2 linked regions of the Astyanax mexicanus genome follow. The protein of the gene in region 1 binds, or shares a complex with, the protein of each later gene. Links are inferred from orthologs where the notes say so. Each region holds a gene or a part of one and is shown on either strand. Other genes may lie near its edges. The genes, in order: eed and ezh1.

Region 1 (3,925 bases):
CTTCCGAGTCAAAATAAAGCTTGATTGATTGATTGCTTTTGTGCAGTTTTCATATTTAATTTTACTGTAGTAACTTTTATACATGTTGTTGTCATGTTCCTCCTCAACATGTTTCATTAAAAAATGCTCTTAAATTCACTTTGCATGCATATATGTTTAAATGGGTTTTTGAAGGCTATTTTTCTCAAATAAATTTGTTTTGTATTCTATAAAAGTGGGTGAGAAAAAGTGGGTCCCTGGTTGAGACCTGTTGAGAAGCCCTGCTTTAAATCAGGGAGGGATGCATTCAAATCCTACCTGTGTAGGACGAGTGTGGACGTGAGTGATCGACCTACAATAGCTAGCTTAGTGCCCTACCTAGGGAGTATAAATCCACTATTTGAGACGTGCCCTACACGTACGGTGAGTGTGCCAGGTCCTCTTGCAGCGTTCGGCTGGTGATCTGTCTCAGGGCTCCCCCTGCTGTTCGGGACGCGCTAACACGCCCGGTGTTCTGTCGAGTTGCGCTACCCGTCGATGCGTGCTACTTAGCGGCTCTGCGCATGCGTGAATTCTCATTTATTTATTTATTTTTGACTATTTTCACGTGTTTTACAATCTGAGATCACTGAATTTTATATATTATTTTGTATTAAATTTGAAAATATAATAAAAAATAAATATAAAACGACTTCTTATACCCTATATTGCCCTAACGAACTCTAGTACAGCAAATTTAGGCTATTTTTTAGGCTATCCAAATATCACACCGAGACTTCTACAGCGGGCATTTTCTTTTCTTTTTTTGTAAAATTAAATCGCACAATTTTTTATGCTACCTTCACAAACCGTGCTACCCTTGTAGTATATTTATTAAATGCAAAATAAGCACCATATTAGAGCATATTCTCAGTGCAAGTCTATGTAAATTTTTGGAGAGCATAAATCACTGTATCATTGCACAGTTTTGTAGTAGTGAGAGGTCATTACAAAATATTTTTTTATAGTTATTATTGTATTTATTGTTATTATTATATATTTTTATTTGATGACAGTGAGTCCATGTTGTTTAATGTACAAAAAATATTTCCTATATATATAAAAAAGCGAGAAATAATTGATAGCTGTAGGTCAGCGCATGCGCAGTGCCTTTAGGAAGCACGTTTCGACGCGTAGCGCAACTCGACAGAGCACCGTTCTTCGGTCTGCAGTAGCGGAGCTCCTCTCCACGCCGCTTTGTGGCAGCGCAGCGTGGCCGCCGGGTTTTTCTTCAGCAGAGGAAGAAGAAGATGAGGGGGAAGATGTCTGAAGCTCCTGCCGAGGCGGGAAACGACATGCCGGCAAAAAAGCAGAAACTAAGCAGCGACGAGAACAGCAACCCGGACCTTTCCGGAGACGAGAACGTAAGAGAAGATCCCGCGGCGGCGGGTTCTAGTTATATATATGTTAGCGGGAGCTCCGGGGATCCGGGGCCGCGGCTCGCTCTCTCTCTCCGCCTCTACTGATGCTCTGTTTACCGGAGCTGCAAGTTTCCCTCGCTGGTTAAAATAACTTACCTCTGATGTGTTTAATTTTATCGAGCCTGGGGCGGACTGGTGTAAAATTGTCCTTTTTTAACCCTTTTCTGTGTTTCTATAGGCTTTGTTTTCTGTGAGACTCACTTTAGCGAGGTTAGCGGAGCTAGCTTCCAGTTTTGTTGTTCAGGTTAGCTGCTGGCTAACTCGCTGAATTCAGTGTAATAAAATAGCTGGGCTAGCTTAGCTTGGGTAGTTTCACTAGTTAATTTAGCCCTTTTAGACCTGAATTAAGATCCAGTGATGAAAACATAAGAATGCTATGTGCCTGTGATGAACACAAAAAAAAAATCTAATATGAACTTTCTGTAAAAAAGTCTATTAACTAAAATATTAGTTAAAGAGAACGGTATTACGTACACTTCAGTATTCCGTACAGTTGAGCATTTAAACAATAAAATACTTAATAATAAACTATTGTTATGTTTGAAATATAGTCTGGGGTCATTGTCAATCCTTCCTCTTTCCATTAAAACAGGTCAGTGACCATCCACGTTGTGTTTTCTCTTGAAATTCCGCTAGGTAGGGAGGAAAGGTCCGCGTCGCCGAAAACGGGTGGGTGGGGAAGGGTTAACAACGTTGAGGCTAGGGGGTGGGGAAAACTTTATCGACTAGTTTTTAACATCACATTTCACCCAAAATGCAACGTTAAACATCCAACTAACAGCATCCGTTGTAATATTTGATTGAGGAATTAATAATCATAGTTTATAACTTACTTTAAAAACGAGCTTACTCCAGCTCCACATCACCACTCACAGACAGCTGAGATTTTGTGCTGCAGCTTCAGCACATTTTTTTTTTCAATTCATAGACAACTTATCAAATCCATTTGACAAACACTTTACTAAGCTTCTACGTCAGTCTAAGCTCATATGTTATAGGTCATAGGTCGGCAATAGGCGGCTCGCGGGCCAGATGCGGCCCGCAAGCAAGAAACATCTGGCCCGTGAGGTTGAACTATAATGAAAAAAAAAATCGGACTGTCCGTCTCAAAAATGCTCTTTATTTAGAAACTTAATTTTCCAAAACAGAAAAATTTATTAAAGATTTTTTGATAGAGCCACGGGCTGTTAGATAACTGCTAGCTCCTTTATTCTGTTATTTTTTTTTTTATTCGTTTGGTTTTTTTTTTTGTTTAACAAACAGGTATATCATTAATAGCGCCCCCAATGGTCAGTCCACAGATTTCACCCACATCAGCCCACTTGAATGTCGTCTGCTTGTCATTTTAACCTCTTACTGCAGAAGCGCCCTCTAGCGGGCCCGCCGGCGGGCCCGTTCTGACTATGTAAATTAGAACGCTTAAAAGCGTCAAATATTCTAAACATACCGACCAAATAACCGACTCATATTCTTTAGTACTACTTTAACTACCTGCATGCAAATTTACAGCCATCTACATGAAACCAGTCGCCAGAAATCGCCAACTGAAAACAGCCTGTTTTTTCACATTGTTTACACGAGAAACACGCCTCCCCAACAAAATAGCCTTATAAAATAATATTAGTGTATAAAATAACATCATATTATATTATTGAAAATTCACTTACTATCACAGCATCCACAATACAGCACTGAACCGCAGGTAAAATATCCATAAAGTCCTTTATTTGCCTGCTCACGGCTCCTCAAAAACATGCGTTTAGTTTCAGCGCAGCCGTAACGTCGTATTCTCAAGCTCCCAGCGACTACACAATGGAATATTTTCCGTAAAGTTGTACGTGAATACAAAGCTAAGGGTGTCCTCTTCTAGATTCAGTGGTTTTTATTGGTCTACAATCCACTACTTTTCTTGAGTGATCGTCTTTTGAACCAATGGCGTGAGCGCTGGATCGCGCTGGTGTTCAGGGCTGTCCAATCAAATCAGATCATAGGCTTTTTCCAGCGTCACAAAAGTGATTGACACCTATTTCAACCAATAGTCCACCCTTAGACGAAAACACTGATACGTAATTTGCCCTGATTGGTCTCCGAATGGCTGGGGGAGGGGCATGCCAAACCGTCACCAAGTCACAAAAAAAACACCCCTCTCCAAACGCTAAAACACACAGCGCACACAGCGCGCAAACATGTGATTTTATGTGTCATTTCATCAAAAAAATATTAATATTACCCTGAGATGGACTCACATTAATTTATTTTATCACAAAGAAACAAAAAAATATTAAAATGTTGTTTTATAGAGACAGATTCACCTCTGTATCAGACTGGGGCGCTCTGGAGAGGTTTTTAAGCCTTTGGTGACGCCTGGTGGACACCTTATATATAATGCAGTATAAATTCCCATGCTGTTAAAATAATGTTTTCAAATTTTGTACTTTGTTTGACAAGACCCTAATAAACCAGGAAATGTAGAGAATGATTAGCTA
Region 2 (3,925 bases), on another chromosome or scaffold:
TGTAAAAGCTGTGCTGTGTGAGGGTGAGCATTATCCTGCTGAAAAATGCCAGAAAAATACCCTGCCATGAGAAGAAACACATGTGGCTACAGGATATCCTTACAGCTGAGCTGTAAGAGTCCCTCATATCACTACTAGGGGTGACCAACTATTGCATTTGATGGCTCCCTAGGTCATCACACCAGCAGTTGTGGCAGTGGGTCACTCCACAGCAAAGGCAGGTCTCAAGAAGAATCTGGATTACAGGCGATTCAGTTCCAGTCTGTAGAAATCTGTGTTTTTGTTTACGACAGCACTGCAAACAAAGGTGACAGCTGGCAATTTGTTGAAACAACAACACTGCCGAGACCAGCTGCTGTGTTTGTTTGAATCACAGCTTTTAGCACTGTGGCTAACCTGCAATCCTAGGCTTTAAAACACAGGTTTAAAATAACCTACACGTGATATTTGCTACGTGATATTGTAGCAAATAGCAATATTTAATCTAACCCTTCACAACTAAATATCCAGACCTGTCTGCACCAAGGTTTCTGTCTTTGTTACATTATTACATGATAAAGCGTTTGTTCACAGGTGTTGTAATAAGCCTTAAATTAAAGCAGCTTCACACCTCACAGATATACGCGCTGGAGCACAGAATCTTCTCCAATCAGAGGACACAACGTGCTCACGTGGTTGATTGGTGCGCATTTTGGTGCATTTATGTTTATGCCTGTGTGAAACCAAACCAAACTAAAGGGAGAAAACATAAAATTGATTCGGACCAGAGAAACGGACTACAGGTGTGAAAACACCCTTAGTGAAACTAAGCATCCGTCATAGAACAGAACAGCTCTTTTCTGGGACAACACATTGTTCACAAAACAAATGTTCTCATGGTTTATGGCCCCTTTCACAACTGCTACTTTGACCCAGACCAAACTGAAATCAACCCAGCTGGCACACAACCGAACTTCAACGTTGAAATGTGGTTGAAATATGACTAAAGTAATGTATGTTGTTGTTTCACCGTTTAAACAACGCTTTTTCGCTATTGAAATTTTAATGTTGAATCAACATAATGTACTCAACGTTCTGCCTTTTGAATCAGCATTTTACATTTCATCACCATATAATTTATAAAAATGGTGGGATGGACGAATGAAACAGTGTTTTACTTCTATTTGCAGTAACTGCTTTTACATTAACATCATGTTCATGTTCTAATAGTTTTACGGTTTTAGTGTTTTTGAGATCAAATGTTGAATCAAATTGGTAGTGGTGGGTAACTTTCTTTATACTCAGCTTTACTACAGTGATGTAAGTTTATTGTTAACACTTTGTTAACCATACGATTGTCTCATTTTAGTGAGCTATGGTTTATTAGTGGTTGAACATATGACGTTGACACAACGTTGCTATATTACCGTTGATTTCCTTTTCAAAATCAACAGTTGATTCAACGTTGATTCAACCACAACATCTACCTTGATCAACGTTGATTCAACGTTTATACAACGTTGAAATGCCAGCTGGGAAGGTAGGTGTGAATGCCCCATTAAAATAACCTACAGAAACAAAACACATATCATGCCAGATGTCAACAAATATATAGATAAGAAGTCAATTTTGGAAAAAAATGCTGAAAAACAGAACTAATAAGAACATAAAAATGTTTCAAAGACAGAGGATAGCAGTAGATTCACACTGATGATGCTCTGGAGTGAATTTCTCCAGATGTGATAAGATCTCATACACAGCAGCTTCACACACAGACTCACAAAATACATGACTCAAACTTTGTCATTGAGGAGCATTACTCCCGCGCGCCTGCTCTGCTCGCTCCGGCGCCTCCTGCTCGCAGCAAAACAGAACTGCAGCTCGCCCTGTTTAAAGGGCTTTAAAGCCCTTCCTGGAAAAAACAGTCACTCACTTGCGCGCGCGGTCAGCATTATTAGGGTAGTCACCTAAATTTAACACCAACATTCCACATCCGGTGGCTGAATACGGGGGAAAACAGCGAGCTTCAGTGTGAGTGAGCAGTCTGACGGTGGTGTGAGCGCGCGTGCACGCGTGTAGCAGGAGAAAAACACATGCAACCTCTCGTCTCGAGACTGGAAGTGGGCGTGACTCCTTCCCCTCCTACTCCTCGCGACTAAAAAGTGCGCAGTGCACTTTCATAACAGCCCCCAAATCCTCTCGAATCCTCCTGAAAATTAGCAACAAAGATCTGCTTTTGCAGAGAACCAAAAACCCAAAAGCACGCGTGCACGAGAGATCGTGCGTGCGGAGGAAAAAAGAGAGGGGGTGGCGGGTTGACGGGCAACACCACGCACGAGCCGCTTGCGTCGAAGAATATCACTTCTTCTGTACGATGGCCACCTAATTACTGCTACAGCACAAACACGCACATACATATGCACACGCATGCATGCACGCGCCACTTCGCGGCGTGTATGTAGCGTGCTAGTTTTAGCGTCATGCGAGGCAGCGCGCACGCGGAACGCTGCTATAAACGCACGTTGCAGGGGATTTTGCTGCTGTGAAACGCACGCACGCACACACACACACCACACACGAACGCGCGCGTTCACACGCAGGCACACATTTACACATAGTGCACACAGTTTCGGAATACCTTCAGACTCGCGTGTCCCCGCGTTTCGGTCTCCACACGCTGAAGGGCTCGAGCTCCAGACCCCTGTAGCGTCCTCGAGGACCAGCCCGCAGCCCCGCGTCACCCGTAGCGCGCGGGCAGCACCGCAGCGGCCCAGACTTGAGCTCAGCTGCCTTCCAGTTTTTAGGAGCTGCGCACTCGGGGCTGGTCGGAGTGTGACGTCTTTATTAGGAGCGACTGCACGGAGCGGACACACACACACACTACACACACACACCGAGCAGCAGCAAACACGAAACATGACTCATCACATCATTCAAACAATTATACACAGTAATAATAATAATAATAATAATAGTGTAATAAAATTGTAATAATATTATGTTTATCATTAATATCACTAATATAATAGATATAATGCAGATGTATTACTGTTGCTAGAGTGCTGATATGTACATTACTGTGTATTGGACACATTTATAATAGTACAATAATGGTAGTTTGTAATGTTATTAGCATTGCCATCAATAATATGCGTAGTATTGCTGGTATGTATACTGCTATGTACTATTTATCTATTTAATATTGATTAATAATTATTATTATTATTATTAGTAGTAGTAGTAGTAGTAGTAGTAGTAGTAGTAGTAGCAGTAGTAGGAGTAATAGTGCTAGTAGTAATAATGTTAGTTATAAAATAAAGCATTCTATTATATAGAATACGTATTCTATTCTATCATGTCATCAACAACAACAATGCTATAGTGTTATTATTATAATTATATATATATTATTATTGTATTATGTAATTTTGTCATTAGGCTCATGTTGTAATTATAGAGGAACAGAACACACGATGGGCCGGTGTGAGTAACGCCCACACAAACTCCGCAGATCTGTGTGGAGGTGATGCTGACTGTATGTATGTATTTATGTATGTATTTATATATTTATTTTGTTATTTTCTAACTGTACTCCACAAGCCCCGCCCTCTTGTGCTGGGATTGGTTAGTAGTGACCAGCCCCCTGTGCTGGGATTTGTTAGTGAGCGGTCCTCTGTTCCAGAGCTCTGGAGGGGCGGGGCCTGTCAGAGGACGAGTGGGAAAAACAACGCTGGAGTCAAACCACGCTGCCGCCCGGACACGTGACTCAGACAGAGAAGCGCAGCGCCTCCCAGCGGAGAGCAGCGGTACAGTCCATTACATAAAACACCCATACAGAACCTGGAGGGCTATAATAATAATACATATAAATAATAATAATATCATTAATAATAATATTCAGGCGCCGCATATTCTCAAGTGTATTTATTTGTTTGTTATTTCTTTT

Evidence for each region.
Region 2: the proteins of eed (region 1) and ezh1 are in contact, whole or in part, in a cryo-EM structure (PDB 7KTP), measured with the Homo sapiens proteins. The link is inferred for Astyanax mexicanus from reciprocal best matches to the Homo sapiens genes EED and EZH1. Residues at the interface, in NP_003788.2 of Homo sapiens: Cys84, Val85, Asn86, Ser87, Leu88, Lys89, Glu90, Asp91, Trp103, His104, Ser105, Lys106, Glu107, Val112, Arg120, Leu123, Tyr124, Gln129, Gly130, Glu131, Ile132, Arg133, Leu134, Leu135, Gln136, Ser137, Tyr138, Val139, Asp140, Tyr154; in NP_001982.2 of Homo sapiens: Gly37, Ala38, Lys39, Leu41, Tyr42, Val43, Asn45, Phe46, Lys48, Val49, Gln50, Lys52, Thr53, Gln54, Leu56, Asn57, Glu59, Trp60, Leu63, Arg64, Val65, Gln66, Pro67, Val68, Gln69, Ser70, Met71, Cys83, Thr84, Ile85.

Annotation. Positions count from the first base shown.
Region 1 is NC_064428.1:19,808,102-19,812,026, reverse strand, and holds the start of eed (polycomb protein eed), read left to right. Parts: upstream 1-1,193; 5' UTR 1,194-1,268; coding exon 1,269-1,382; intron 1,383-3,925. UniProt on the Homo sapiens protein: Polycomb group (PcG) protein. Component of the PRC2/EED-EZH2 complex, which methylates 'Lys-9' and 'Lys-27' of histone H3, leading to transcriptional repression of the affected target gene.
Region 2 is NC_064426.1:22,696,098-22,700,022, reverse strand, and holds the start of ezh1 (histone-lysine N-methyltransferase EZH1), read right to left. Parts: upstream 2,804-3,925; 5' UTR 2,618-2,803; intron 1-2,617.